Drosophila melanogaster: one gene and its partners. The protein of the gene in region 3 interacts with the protein of the main gene of each other region in a pairwise test. Each region holds a gene or a part of one and is shown on either strand. Other genes may lie near its edges.

Region 1 (3,747 bases), 2.3 Mb from region 3:
GTGACAGCGAAATAAAAGAACATATAGAACTACTCTAAATGCAGACGATTATTTTACCAATTCACGCGCTTGGCACTCAAGATCTTGAGTATATTCTCAACCACATCGGTACTGGAGTTGGTGCCGCCAATATCTGTAAGAGATTTAGATGATAAAGGTGATTCTGTTTATTGAATAACTACGAGAGACGTGATCACCTGGCGTGCGAATGGCATCGTTGACAATGGTCTGGTAGACGGCCTCCTGAATGACATTGGCGTGCTCCTTGTGGCCCAGATGGTTCAACATATCGATACTGGCACTGATCATGGCCACAGGGTTGGCGATATTCTTGCCGGCAATGGCGGTTCCGGTGTTACGGGTGCCAGGCTCAAAGATGGCGTACTAAAATTATATGACAAAACTGAAAGACTATGGGTTAAGCAAAAGAGAAAGAGACTTACATGGTCACCGTAGTTCCTGCCGGATATGAGGCCAGCTCCGCCCATCAAACCGCAAAGAACATTGGACACGATGGTGCCGTACAGATTGGTCATGTTCATCACGTCGAACTGGTGAGGATTCGACACGGACTGCATGCAGGTGTTGTCGATAATCATGTTGTTGTGCTCCAGTTCGGGATAGTCCTTGTGCACACGGTTGGCAACCTCCAGGAAGAGACCATCGGACAGCTTCATGATGTTGGCCTTGTGAATGGTGGTAACCTTCTTGCGATTGTTTTGGCGGGCGAACTCAAAGGCGTAGCGGGCCACACGCTCGGCATTCTCGACGGTCACCACTTTCATGCTCTCCACAATTCCGGGCACAGACTCATGTTCCAACATGGCGTACTCGCCATCGGTGTTTTGGCGGATGAGCACCACGTCAATGTCGTGATGGCGGGCCGGAATGCCCGGATACGACTTGCAGTGCACCACATTGACGTACAGATCCAGCTCGTTACGGATGGCCACGTTGCGGGAGACTTCGGTCAAGGATTGGGACTTGGTCTCGATGTTGCCCTTGAGTGCCACTCCGTTCCTCTTAATCGATGTGATGGCATAGTCCAGATCATCGTTGCCCTCGGTGGAGGGATCGATGTCGATCACCTCGAAATCGATGGGTGCACCGCAATACCGGAAGATCTCGCGCACATAGCCCATCAGTTCAGGACCAATGCCGCCGCCCGGCAGCATGGTGACGGCATGACGACCTCCGTACTGTGCCGAGGGAATATCGGTGCCCTGTTCACGAAGATATATACGGATGCTATAACCTCAATTGGGGGTGAGCTCCAGAGGTTGCACTCACCGTGACTTTCTTCTGCAGCGCCGATTTGGTGTGGGCCACATCCTCGGTCTTCTCCTTGGTCACCAGCAAGGGATAGCCCTACAATTCGAATCGATAAGTACGATCAATAGGATCTGGCAGGCGCGCATTATGTAATTTGCCTTTGTGGGCCAATTTTCCGGCCGAGAAAACTTACGCGAGTGAGGAACGGCGTCTGCGTCTGCAGCAATCTCTGGGTCAAGCGAAGGGCCATGATTTGATCCTTGGATTATTGTTTTCTACCGCTGCAGTTGGTATTCTACTATCAGTTAAATCACAGCCAATTTTATTCCACTTGGCCAAAACGGTGCTGCTGGCTCTTGCCCAGAACCACGGCTTTTCAGGGTTGTCAAGTAAATGGTATTGGTTTTAAAATAATTACTTTGGTGTAAAAAAAATGTATTATAATTATGTGTTTTTGTGAAAAAGCTAACATTTCAATACCATCCTTTTTTTAAGTAACACTTTTGACCAAATAATATATATCTTACATAGAATATATTTATTTGTTATGGTTTCAGCATCTTGGCAACTCTACACCAAGCAGCTGTTATCTGCAGACCTGCCAGATCAGCAAAAAGCAGCTGACTGTTACGTTAACAACCACATTTTATGTTTTTGTTTACTAAAACAACTTTAGTTAATACTCCGACGGGATGACTTAAAGTGGATGCCCCAACATCATTTCTAGGACATGGCAGCGGAATTGGGTCTGGAATCGGCCGCGGGGTCCGTGGCAATCAAAATGCAAGAGCCGGTCAATAAATTAAAATTTTTCCATGCACTTGTTGTAAGTAGATGAAAATTAAATGAAAAGTTAGTTCTTAAATAATTAGTTTTAGGCAGGAGGAGTGGCTGGAATGGTAGTGGACATAGCGCTGTTTCCCATAGATACAGTGAAGACCCGACTGCAAAGCGAGCTGGGCTTTTGGCGGGCAGGAGGATTCAGGGGCATCTACAAAGGACTCGCTCCTGCGGCTGCAGGAAGTGCTCCCACGGCGGCCCTGTTTTTCTGCACCTACGAGTGCGGAAAGCAGTTCCTTAGTTCGGTCACCCAAACCAAAGATTCACCCTATGTTCACATGGCAGCGGCTTCAGCAGCAGAAGTGGTAGGATTTCATATAAAACTGAGCACCTCGTATTTAGATCTGAAGAATCTCTGTATCCAATAGTTGGCATGCTTGATCCGAGTTCCCGTGGAGATTGCCAAGCAACGCTCCCAAACATTGCAGGGCAACAAACAGTCCGGCCTGCAAATTCTACTGCGTGCCTATCGCACTGAGGGATTGAAACGTGGTCTGTACAGGGGATTTGGTTCCACTATCATGCGGGAGATTCCATTTAGTCTGATACAGTTTCCGCTCTGGGAGTACTTTAAGCTGCAATGGACTCCCCTGACCGGCTTCGATTCCACTCCTTTTTCGGTGGCTCTTTGTGGAGCTGTCGCTGGAGGCATTTCAGCGGGATTAACTACGCCGCTCGATGTGGTCAAAACCCGAATTATGCTGGCTGAAAGGGAGAGTCTCAACCGACGTCGCAGTGCCCGAAGAATTTTGCATGGCATTTACCTGGAGCGAGGCTTCAGCGGGTAATTATTTCCATATTAGACGCAACTCAAGCTGGTCCTAATATTTAAACACAAATTAACTTTACAAAACTATTTATTACATTTATTAATGTACTTCGATGTTACTTTTCAGTCTGTTTGCTGGCTTTGTGCCGCGTGTGCTGTGGATCACACTGGGCGGTGCATTCTTCTTTGGCTTCTACGACCTGACGACGCGAATCCTTGGCGCCACCAGTACGGATCATTAAAATTAGGGTTATTTTCGTTGTACTTGTAGTAGAGGCACGTAGTTTGCAGTAGTAACTAAACCGATGACAACCACCGTTTGAAGACAACGTGGACAATAAAGTGTATGGAAGACTTTTGAGATTCACTAGGCATTGGAGGCGTTATTCGCTCCCTGTGGAAGAAAAAGGGCTGTGATTGTATTGGGACATTGTCACGAGCTCACTGACATCCTGAATGTGGAGGCGACCAGTGAGGAGAGTAGCAGTAGTCCTTTGATCTCCCAGTTCATCTCCGCAGTCCATGGGCACATCGGAATCCTCCTCATCCACATTGATGTATCCACTTCGCGGAGCCTTCCTGCTCTTTAGGCAATCCCAGGAATTCCGACAGCGACTACGTGACATGGCGTAGACCTGTGTACACCCAAATGCATAAATTAAACAAATGTACATCCACTTAAACAAACAGACTGTGGCGATAACGCACCAGTGCAGCCAGAACGAAAATGCCAACGAGCACGGAAATTGGCAGCCATATGTATTGACCGTCGTCCGGATGCAGTATGTCCGGTTCAGGACTAATGGTCGTCTGAGGCTCAAGTAACTTCATCGTTTTCAGGGGATGTACAAAGAAATCACAACAAC
Region 2 (4,795 bases), on a different chromosome or scaffold from region 3:
TGATGGGTTACTGCCGGCAGGAGTTTCAGAACACCACCTCCTCGAACTAAGTTAACGGAACGGAAGTCAGCCCACGATGTGGGGCGCGCGGGTTGGGATCGCATTTTTATGGTTTGGGTTTTTGGGTTGAAACTTCTGATTTGACCTTCGGTTAATACAGCTGCACCACGTCGCATCGAAAGAAACTTGTACCTGAGTCCCAGACGTTCAAAGTATCTGCGTAAGTAAGTAGTAGGCACAGTGTTGAATTGGATTAGTGGATAGCGGATAGCGGATGTGTGATACGGGCGAACCTCAGTACAAAGGCCAGGCATTCTCTCCGATCGAGTAACCCATGTATATTTGCACCGGATAGTCGTTTAAAGTGTACATTTCGTTGGATCCCCGTTGTTGATGTCGATATTGTTGAAAGTAGTGAAAGTTCCTCGATATATAAGTGTGTGTGTACTCCGTACTCTGTACTTTGAAGCCATCAAGTTGAGCAAGCGATTTGAATTGAATTGAATCGAAAGAAACGAGCAAAGGCAAACTAAACCGAACTAGAACTAGATGTTATCCGTAGCTTTAGCGTAGTCTGAAACTATTTGGGCACCAATATACACATGCAATCCTTAGAGACAACCGACTCCCCAAGTTGAGAAGTGAATCAAAATCGAAAACGAAATCGAACAAGTATTATATGTATGTACCGAGAACTATTTGTAACTATGTATGCCCCGACGTTACCGGATCGTATTCCCCAGTTTTATATGTATGTATATGTATACAAGGGTAGATAAAAATGCGCTTGAACCGAACTAAAATCAAACTACAATATATCCCCATCAACACATCGATTTGAACAACAGTTTTGAGTTGTTAACGGCACTGAATTCTGTTTTGAATTGCATATGTACACCGAACACGATCGAATATTTATATATACAGAAACATAGATATATTTTTGTACAACTCTTGGTTTATACTGCACGATATTATGTAAATACATGTGTATGCATTTTTGGATGTGATTAAAGTCTTTACACTCACACAAAAGCCATCACCTCTTACTTTCTCTTCGGGCTGAGAGATCGGAACCAAGCTGAAGACCCCACAACTCTATATTCTAAGAGCTTAAACACTACATATCATGGCCAAGGAACACGGGACATGCCCAGGGCTTTTCTGAGATACATTTTACAAGATCTAAACAACTAACCAACTGAACCTATCGCTTTTACACAACGAATACGAGAACGGAAACGGAAACAGCAGCATACAATTTCCACAGACTTCCTGTATATACACGCTATATATATGTAGATCCGCTTGTCGTACGATATTGCTCATCTCTTCACTCGCCAAATATCTCGTTGTATCTCTCTTTTTAGCGCTATGCTAAATAAATATATGTATTGTATATCAAAGCAGTAGTAGGGAATTAGGGACGAATTGATCGATTATAGCCGAATTGTAATAACTATTATTGCCGTATTATGCATGTAGCTACATATATATACATACTATTATATTAAATTGTTTAGATGTGATGCTATCTGACCGGAGGATCGTGTGCGTAGAGAAGTTTTGATTTACAACGCAGGCATATCCCAGAGATAACAAAATCCGATTTCATTCCAATAGTATATATGTATAGATAAGCTAAAGCAAAACCAAATGAAATACTCTTGAAATAATAAAACTGCATTTTAGAAATATGCTAAAACAACACTGCGGTTTCCATACTATATCCTTATCGCCGCAATTTGTCGACAATTTCAATTCTCAGGCGTTCTTGTGGTTTTCAAAACCGATACTAGTGCCTTCGAAGTTTTGTATAAAATGTGCAGTTCTTTCGGTGAATAGTCACAGTCGTGAAGTTCCCAGACTTCCAGTCACATTCCCCATTTAGTTTGCTCCGCGATCCAGCAGGTCCTCCCTGACATCCCATTGAAAATGGCCGACAAGAAGAATCTCCTCCTGCTTTTCGACCATCCCACCGAGCCAGTGTTCATGGACAAGGGCAAGAGGGTGACCGTGTTCGATGTGCCCGACTCCTTCCTGACCGACCGCTACCGACCCATCAGCAACGAGGTGCAGAGCCGCGTCGGCGACAAGGTGGAGCAGCGCGTTCCAGTCCGGGAGATCTCCATTCCCGATCTGCGGATCCCCATGTCCCTGGGCCGGGACGAGCAGTTCTCGCTGTTCCTGCCCAAGCACCGCAGGATCGCCGGCCGCCTGATCGATATATTCATGAACATGCGCTCCGTGGACGACCTGCAGAGCGTGGCGGTGTACGCCAGGGATCGGGTCAACCCGGTGCTCTTCAACTACGCCTTGTCGGTGGCGCTGCTCCATCGTCCGGACACCCAGGGCCTGGATCTGCCATCCTTCTCGCAGACTTTCCCCGACCGCTTCATCGACTCGCAGGTGATCCGCAAGATGCGGGAGGAGTCTTTTGTGGTGCAGCCCGGTTCCCGGATGCCCATCACCATTCCCAGGGACTACACCGCCTCCGATCTGGATCCCGAGCACCGGCTGTGGTACTTCCGCGAGGATCTGGGCATCAACCTTCACCACTGGCATTGGCATCTGGTCTACCCCTTCGAGGCCTCCGACCGCAGCATAGTGGCCAAGGATCGTCGTGGCGAGCTCTTCTACTACATGCACCAGCAGGTGATCGCCCGCTACAATGCGGAGCGGTTCAGCAACAACCTGGCCAGGGTTCTGCCCTTCAACAACCTGAGGGATCCCATTGCCGAGGGCTACTTCCCCAAGATGGACTCTCTGGTAGCCAGCCGCGCGTGGCCACCGCGCTTCGAGAGCACCAGGTTGAGCGATCTCAACCGGGAGTCCGACCAGCTGAATGTGGAGATTGGAGATCTGGAGCGTTGGCGTGATCGCATCTACGAGGCCATTCACCAAGGATTTGTCATGGATGTGAGTTGTTGGTGGGTTTTCCATTAACTAAATAACATGCCATATTCCCTTTCAGGAGCGTGGCAACCGGGTGCCATTGGATGAGGCGACGGGCATTGATACCCTCGGCAACATGATTGAATCATCCATTCTGTCGCCCAACCGAGTGCTGGTAATAAGTCCTTACCCTTAGTAAATTATTCTAGGGATTAATCCTATTGCTCCCCTAGTATGGTGACCTGCACAACAACGGACACACCTTCATCTCGTACGCCCACGATCCGACCAGCAAGCACCTGGAGTCCTTTGGCGTGATGGGTGATGTGTCCACGGCCATGCGCGACCCGGTCTTCTACAAGTGGCACTCGTACATCGACCGCATCTTCCAGGAGCACAAGTCGCGCCTGCCCGCCTATACCGAGAACCAACTAAACTACCCGGGCGTCTCGATCGCGGGCATCCAGGTGGACACCAATGGAGGTCGTCCCAATAATCTGACCACCTTCTGGCAGCAGTCGGACGTGGACATGTCCCGTGGCTTCGACTTCCTGCCGCGAGGTAATGTCTTCGCCAGGTTCACCCACCTGCAGCATCTGCCCTTCACCTATACCATCAGTTTGAACAACGATAGTGGTGCCCAGCGTTTCGGCTACGTGCGCATCTTCATGGCGCCGAAGAACGACGAGCGTGGCCAGCCCATGCTGATGCGAGATCAGCGCTCCATGATGATCGAGCTGGACAAGTTCGTGACTTCGCTGAACCCGGGACCCAACACCATCCGCCGCCGCTCCACGGAGTCGAGCGTGACCATTCCGTTCGAGCGCACCTTCCGCAACCTGGATGCCAATCGTCCGGCGGCCGGCACTCCGGAGGAGCTGGAGTTCAACTTCTGCGGCTGCGGCTGGCCCAACCACATGCTGGTGCCAAAGGGTCTGCCCGAGGGACTGCAGTGCGTGCTGTTCATCATGGTGTCGAACTATGAGAACGACAGGGTATGTTAGCTGGCTAGTAAATCAAGGATATTTTTGACAATTATCTCCACCTCCAGATTGACCAGCAATTGGTGGGTCGGTGCAGCGATGCCGCTTCCTACTGTGGCGTCCGTGACCGTCTTTACCCGGATCGCCAGTCCATGGGATTCCCCTTCGACAGGTTGCCCCGCAGCGGAGTCGACCGCCTGGTTAACTTCCTCACGCCCAACATGAGCATCGTGGACGTGAACATCCGCCACGAGAACCGCACCGTGCAGCGCCCAAACTAGACGATCCGCACCTGATTCGCTTTCCCGATTCGCCCTGACCCGATTCCATGACCTCGCCCACTTCTAGATATACAACTCTTAGCAATCTATTGCATCTTTATTGAGCCGCTTAATAAACAAGACATCATGGCATTCCACAATCCCACTTTTGTTCTCAATTATTGTGGCTCGGCCTCCGGGCGAGAATCTCTCGCTGATTAGGCTTATCAGCCGCCCGGGAGAAGCTTTAAATGCCAGCTCCACGGCCGGAGCACCTCAGTTCGAGCAGATCCGGTGTTGAGTGCGAAAGTGAAACCGATTCCCGAGGAGATGGGCCTGCTGCTGCTTCTGGTGCTGATAGCGGGCATTGGCGTAAGCACTGTACCGATTAAATAATCTATGGGTCCACAAAGATCCCACAAAAAGATGTGGTCTTTAGATAACTTTAAATCATAATTTTGCGTGTTTGAAATATGTTTCATTTAGATGCGTGTCAGTTTCTATATAGTTTGAGGATACTTAGAAGACCTAGACTAAACTAAGCCTGTAATAGCAATAATATTGTAAGTGAATTTGCTGCTTTTAATTGATTGTCATTTATTTTAGTGCGCAACTGCAGCAGCCAACATTGACCTGGAGGCCAAGACGTTTGTGAAT
Region 3 (6,551 bases):
TCTCTGATTTAATGGAGATCGCGGTAGTTTGAGCCTCTTGAGTTGGGGCTTCATCTGTCCGGTCAACTTCCTCATCTATTGGCTCCGTTTTTACTGACTTTTCGTCAACCTCTTGCTGGTTTTTTTCGTCCAGTTCGAGGGTTACTTTCGCCTTCGGCACTCTTTTCATTTTGCGCTTTACGTGCTTGCGAACGATTGGCCGTATGCCCAGGTCCTCGGAGCCCGCCTCGAAACCGGTGCTGTTGGGCGAACTAGCGCCGTTTTTGATTAGCAGCTTCTCGATGGGGCTCATGTAGGTCTTGCTGAGCAGCTGATTAGCGCTATCATCTCCACCACCTCCTCCTCCTCCCCCGGGGGTCCTTGGTGACGCATTATCATGGGCCAGGGTCTCGCCAGCACTGCTGTTATTTAAAGCCGCCGCTTGGTTAACGCGTCGCCTCGTCGTGCGTATTGTGTCATCGGAATCGGAAAGCGGCGTGGGTGAGTTGGCATTGGCATAGCCAATATATTTGGGGCTCAGCGCCGACTGCAAGTTGATAAGATCTCGTTTCCCTAAAGCAGCACACACAGGCGCACACACAAAAGCAGATATATTAGCATATGGACGGCATACGGCGGGGTATATTGCGCCATTGTTACACTTACTGTTCACCATGGACACACGCTGTTGTTGCTGTTTTTGGACTGGCGTCTGCCGCTGACTCTCCAGCTCCGACTCCTCCGCCGCGGGCTGTGCGCCGTTCTGCACCGGGTTTTGGCCGGGCTTGTCCAGCAGTCGAACCGGAGTGCTGTTGTTGGTGTCCCTCGGAATTTCGACATCATCGCCTTCGGTGGCCACCGACTCGTCGTTGCCCGCAGCCACTTCGTCGGTGGCGGTCAGGGAATCGGACGCGGAGTTGCACAGCACATTGCCGTGGGCAGCGTCGCCCTCGATCTCGGAGTGCGCGTCCGTGCTCAGCTTCATTCTGCGGTCCAGTTTAATCGCGCTCTCGTCAATTAAACACTACCGTTAATTCGACAATTTCTAAGAACACAGAGGCTTCGCTTGCGCCAAAACTTCGACTGCAACCGTGGGCATCGCGGTAGCTATCGATCCATCGATACGATCGCTGAAAGATAGGCGTCACACATTCCTATCGATTATACTTAGCCAAGATTCGCACCGTAATGCACAGTGAGGCGAAGTGTTTTCTTTTACTTATAGTATAGTTATATAATTAATAATAATTTTTATAATAATTTTTGAACTAAATCATAAGCGCCGCGGGGTGTTCTTTTATTCGCTCTCAGGCACGTCATCCAATACAAATTTCTAACTACAGGTTTCTAAACCTTCTATATAAATTTTTTGAAAAGGTTCCTTAGCCACGACTGAGGTACTACACTGGCCAGGGGACTTCGTTACAGATTGTTTTTATAATAGTTATTCGGAGTTAACAGATACTGCCATGTATTGTTGTTTTCCAAAACTAAATATTTTAACTTTAACTCAATTCTTTCACCTTACCGAAAACAACGTGAATACCTGAATTTTACATTAATATGAACATTTAAGTTCTTAATGTATAGCTGATTAAATGCAACTTGGCTTTAAAGGTAAAAACTCGGTGGCACAAATATTTCTATACTTTATTATTCTTTCATTCATAACTCAAAAGTAAAAATGTATCTGTATCTGCAATTCGTCAAATTTGGCTAGTAAAACTGAGAAGTTGGCATAGCTACCGCTCACGCACGACGCCCGGATCCAATCAGGGCGAAACTCACGTGGGGCGGCCATCCCTAGCGTAAACATATGTACATACATGTAAACGCATGTAAAGACAAACTCGACGTTTATCCTGGATTTCCTCGGCACTCACGGGTGTTGCGGCAAGCAAAAGCACACGAATAACAAGGGCCAAGGAGCATGGACGACTTTATCAAGACACTGATTGCCGAGGTGAAGTCGCAGGGCGTCTTCGACGAATTCCGATTCAACTGCTGCCTGGCGGACGTGGACACGAAGCCCGCCTACCAGAATGTGCGCACCCAGGTGGAGACGGCGGTCAACGATTTTCTGGCCAAGCAGCAATGGACGCCCGAGACCAACAAGGTCCAGCTGCGAGAGAGGCTGCGCAAGCACCTTATGGAGTGAGTATGCTTCTGGCGGGGCTTGGGTAACCTGGGGTAATCACATCGACTGTTTCAGCTCCGATGTCCTGGACAAGGGAGTGGACCAAATCGTGGACCAGGTGGTCAATCCCAAGGTGGCTACCATATTCGAGCCAAAGATCGAGAGCATTGTCTACAAGTACCTGGGCATCACACCACCTGCGCGACCCACTATGCTGTCAGCTCCGCCTTTGCCGCCATTTGGTGCCCACTTGAACGGCAGCAGCCTGCTCAATGTGGAGACCACGGTTGGTCTGCTGCCCACGGACCTGGAGCAGATAAGTCCAGACTCCGATCGGGCTACCGTCAAGTCGGAGTCGAGGGATGACGAACTTCCGCCCGGTGTAGACGACGAGGACACTTCGCCATCCTACGAGCTAGTGAGCGAGCGGAAAACACTTGCCATCAAGGAGGAGCTGAACAACGTTTCGTTGAATAACTCGGATTCGGTGAACGGCGTCTCCCAGGCGTCGCAACTTTCGCAGGTTTCCAGTGACAGCCGCCTGACCATGGCGTCGTCCACGGAGTCCATGGTTGATAGCCACCAGCACACAGCAGCTCACAACAGTGGGGAGCCAGAGAACATTTGCGAGGAAGCGCAAATGCCAAAGTTCAGCGAAAACTCTTGGGATGCTAGTGCGGGAACAGGCCGAAGCGAAGGTCGACAGCTTCACTTCGACATCAAACAGGATGCCATTACCTTCGAAGGTGGGTTTGCCGGGCGCCACGATGGGTTATTTAACTTCTACGATTTCTTTTTCGTGCAGGTACTGAGCGAAAGAACTCGGTGTCGGAGACGACTAGCACAGGCCTCCAAATTCTTTCCATCGAGGATGAGATCATGTCGGAGGTGAAGGCAAACATAGACGACGCCAACAATGCCAGTATTGAGTCTATAGCACCGGAGCCTGTACAAGTGCCAGCACCGCCGAAAGTTAATCCGCCTCCTCCTCCGCGGCCAGCCTCGCCAAAAGTAGAGCCTCCTCCGCCGGCACCACCAGGAGTTGAGTCGCCGCCAGGGCCCCAACCACCAGCGTCACCTCGTTTTGATCCACCTCCACCACATACAATTGAGCCACCGCCACCACCAGCACCACCAACACTTGTGCCACCGCCACCACCAGCACCACCAACAATTAAGCCACCGCCACCCCCAGCACCACCTACAGTTGAGCCACCGCCACCACCACCACCAGCACCACCTACAGTTGAACCGCCGCCACCACCACCACCAGCACCAACTAAAGTTGAACCACCTCCTCCACCGGCACCAGCTGAAGTTGAACCACCTCCTCCACCGGCACCCACAGAACTTGAACCACCTCCTCCTCCAGCACCACCGAAAGTCGAGCTTCCTCCTCCGCCAGCCCCACCAAAAGCTGAGGCAGCTATAACGCCCCGAAGGGCGAAAGGTAGTAATGGATTCATCACAGAGCTGGCCGTGACACCCAAGGAGTCGGAAACTCGGGATAAACCACACAATGTAAACACGGATGTCAAAGAAGATGAGCAACCAGCAACAACTGAAGACAAGCAAGATAAACCCCTAGAGCTTGGATTGGATGCACCAAAAGACGCTGTTAGCACAGCGTCTGAGTCCACGGAGTCGCCAACATCCACGTCCTCGCAATCAAAAAGCCATTCGAAGTCTAGGGATAAGGAAAAGGAAAAGGATCGGCGACACCACAGGCACTCAGATGACAAACACCGGCGAAGGAGCACAGATCGGGACCGCGATCGTAGTCGCGACAAATCGCACAGCAAGCATTCCTCGAGTTCCAGCTCGAAGCACTCCTCATCGAACTCCTCCAGCTCGAAGCATAAGAGTAGTAGCTCCAAGAACGATAAGAGCTCCTCAAGTTCATCTAGCCGGAGTAATCGAGAGTCGTCGTCATCCAAGCGCTCGGGAACCACTTCTTCATCACGCCACGAATCTTCCTCACACAAAAAACACAAGTCCAGTTCATCATCCTCGCGATCGGAACGAGATAAAGGCAAGGAGAAGGATAAGGAAAGGGAAAAGGACAGCCAAAGTCGCAGCCACCACAGCAGTAGCAGTTCCTCGTCGTCGTCAAGGAGAAAAGATCACGACCGAGGCCGCGATCGTGATCGTAACAAATCAAACACTTCTGGCAGTGCAGAGAACAAGGCTATCCACGATGATCATAGCGAGAGCAAAGAAAAGTATAAGCAGCGTCGGGGTTCCGACTCAAACGACGAGGGGAAGCCTCCAAGTTCTGGTGGTCCGGCCAAGAACTCCCAGCCGGAGGATTCAGCAGCTACAATGAAATCAGATGCGCCCGTGGAGAATGCTAACGGCACGAATGGAAACTCCAACGGCAGCACCAATGGTGCTTGCGACAATGTCAGCGGTGTTGTCATCGTGAGCGACATCCTGCAGCAATCGACGAGCAGTTTTGTTGAACTGACCGCTGGATCCCAATCGCATGACAGAGCGGAGAGCAGTAAGCATGAACCCGAAGATATAGACGGAAAAGAGGCGGATAATCAGCCGGAAAAAACAGAATTGGAGGCAAGGCAAGACGAGTGTGCTTCGCAGAATGAAGTGCCAACTGTAGAACCTCAAACTTTAGCTGACTCCGTTCCCGATTTGCCAGCCAAGGAAAGCATGGATACATTGGAAGACGAAAAGGTAGAGACCAATGTCGAAGAGAATAAGTCAGAAGAGGAGAGCAAACCGGAAAATCCTCCCGAAGAGTGCGTCGACGAACCTGCTCAAGTCGGCGATGTGGAGGATCCACCGCAAGATGCTGACAAACCCGCCACACCAGTCCCAATCTCGAATGAGCAAAGCGACGAATTTAGTGCCGACTTTGTGACCCACTTCGAAGAAAACACAGACGAGTTTAGGACGCGTCTGCAGCTCATCAATCAACTGATAGAGGATCGAAAGAATTTGCTTAACAGGTTAAGTGAGGATGGAACACAGGAGGAGGCAGTGGATATACGTGCCTTGCGACGCAGCCTCTCCAAGCGAAGACGGAGCAGCATGCAGGAGCAGCATCGAGTGGAGCGGGAAACGACACCGCCGCAGCCTAGAAGTCCGAGCAGCAGCAGCACCGCCGGCAGTCCGGCAAAGAGACTGCGACAGGACGAGCCCAAGTCATCGCCAACACCATCTGACGCCAGCATAAACTCGAAGGAGAACGAGGCACTGGAGAAGCAGGAGCATGGTGCGTACTGTATCATTGCTAAGTTTCATTTGGTGTAGCATTTGTTCCTCGAATCTCTCTTTTGCTAACTCTCACAAAGGGTGGATCGATGCAATTGAATTGTCGTATGTCTTAACGTTTAGTGAAAATCAAGTAAAAATTGATAATAAAGTCTATAATTAACACAAATCGATCCACCCTGCGAATGTGATCTACATACATACATCTCTGTTCTCATGCTCATCCTCAATATTCTTCTTTACCGCCTCTATTTTCTCCCCCACACGCATCCGCATTGTTAACTAATATACATAATATGTAGCTGTATGAAGCCACCACTAGTAGTCCTAACCAAACCGCAATGGAGCTGGGTAAGCGGTTCCCGCGCGATTCTCTGTCCTTTGCCCGCCGATTGTTGATGCTTCGAGCGATTCCCGTGAATGCGTGTGACTAAAGTGCTTGTTTTTATCAGCAGACGCCCTGTCCGCCAGGCGACTCAGCAAGAAGCTCTGCCAGCAGCAGCGGTACACCAACGATGATCTCTACAAGCCCCGTCCAATCCTGTCGCAGCGCTCTCGTCGCCGGGGCCTGGACTCCATTCTCTAGCCAACGGATAACCTGTTATCGGAAACAATAAAAGGCAATTGTTGTTAATGCATTTGACATAAAACAAGTCTTCGTTTCTTTCATCCGTTTAATGGGCCATTTCGCTTGCCAATGGTTTTGCTTCCGCTTGTTTTTTTTTCGTTTGAATTCTTTAACAATAAAATTGTAATTTAGCGCTACACCTTACAGTTTAATAGTCGCCGGTGCAGCATATCCATATATATTATGCATATATATAAACAAAAATAACAGTGAACGTAATAATATGATGCATTATTGTATATTTTGGGCGATCCACTAGCCTTGATCCCCGGCACTCAACTGCGTCTGCTACTCAAGGATGTGGAACTCTAGCACTGAGACGAGGATAATGTGTGATGATAGATCGAAACAGTCGAGTGCGTGGAGCAAGGACAATGGACATAGCTAGGCTACGGCTCTCTACATGGGGCTGGTTAGTTATAGTACCGGGTGTAGATTATGGGGCATTGTAGGTCTGGGGGAGACGTAGTTCTCTGGGAGCTGTTTTCTGCTGTATCTGCTGTTCCTTATATTTTGTAACATCTCAGTTTGAAGATTTCGGCTGTAATTTGATTACAAATTATTGAATTTTTCCTT

Evidence for each region. Proteins that work in one complex are often made in the same cells at the same time.
Region 1: the proteins of BOD1 (region 3) and CG4743 interact in a two-hybrid assay, tested with the Drosophila melanogaster proteins (one large-scale study listed by BioGRID).
Region 2: the proteins of BOD1 (region 3) and PPO2 interact in a two-hybrid assay, tested with the Drosophila melanogaster proteins (one large-scale study listed by BioGRID).

What each region holds. Positions count from the first base shown.
Region 1 is NT_033777.3:25,678,742-25,682,488, reverse strand, and holds CG4743 (uncharacterized protein), read left to right. Parts: upstream 1-1,938; 5' UTR 1,939-2,002; coding exon 2,003-2,098; intron 2,099-2,150; coding exon 2,151-2,417; intron 2,418-2,480; coding exon 2,481-2,896; intron 2,897-2,959; exon of another isoform or gene 2,960-3,008; coding exon 3,009-3,123; 3' UTR 3,124-3,247; downstream 3,248-3,747. Other genes in the region: Idh3g (isocitrate dehydrogenase (NAD(+)) 3 non-catalytic subunit gamma), read right to left, coding at 58-133, 198-384, 444-1,223, 1,291-1,368, 1,466-1,522; CG5039 (uncharacterized protein), read right to left, coding at 3,249-3,275, 3,331-3,516, 3,590-3,712. UniProt on the Drosophila melanogaster protein: Mitochondrial solute carriers shuttle metabolites, nucleotides, and cofactors through the mitochondrial inner membrane. May mediate the transport of S-adenosylmethionine (SAM) into the mitochondria.
Region 2 is NT_033778.4:9,041,761-9,046,555, reverse strand, and holds PPO2 (prophenoloxidase 2), read left to right. Parts: upstream 1-1,846; 5' UTR 1,847-1,935; coding exon 1,936-2,919; intron 2,920-2,974; coding exon 2,975-3,070; intron 3,071-3,128; coding exon 3,129-3,890; intron 3,891-3,946; coding exon 3,947-4,159; 3' UTR 4,160-4,295; downstream 4,296-4,795. Other genes in the region: CG13743 (uncharacterized protein), read left to right, coding at 1-50; Ance-4, read left to right, coding at 4,469-4,510, 4,745-4,795. UniProt on the Drosophila melanogaster protein: This is a copper-containing oxidase that functions in the formation of pigments such as melanins and other polyphenolic compounds.
Region 3 is NT_033777.3:27,936,786-27,943,336, forward strand, and holds BOD1 (biorientation defective 1), read left to right. Parts: upstream 1-1,776; 5' UTR 1,777-1,909; coding exon 1,910-2,133; intron 2,134-2,191; coding exon 2,192-2,862; intron 2,863-2,921; coding exon 2,922-5,348; intron 5,349-5,649; coding exon of another isoform or gene 5,650-5,657; exon of another isoform or gene 5,658-5,799; coding exon 5,800-5,933; 3' UTR 5,934-5,993; downstream 5,994-6,551. Other genes in the region: NSD (nuclear receptor binding SET domain protein), read right to left, coding at 1-552, 646-964.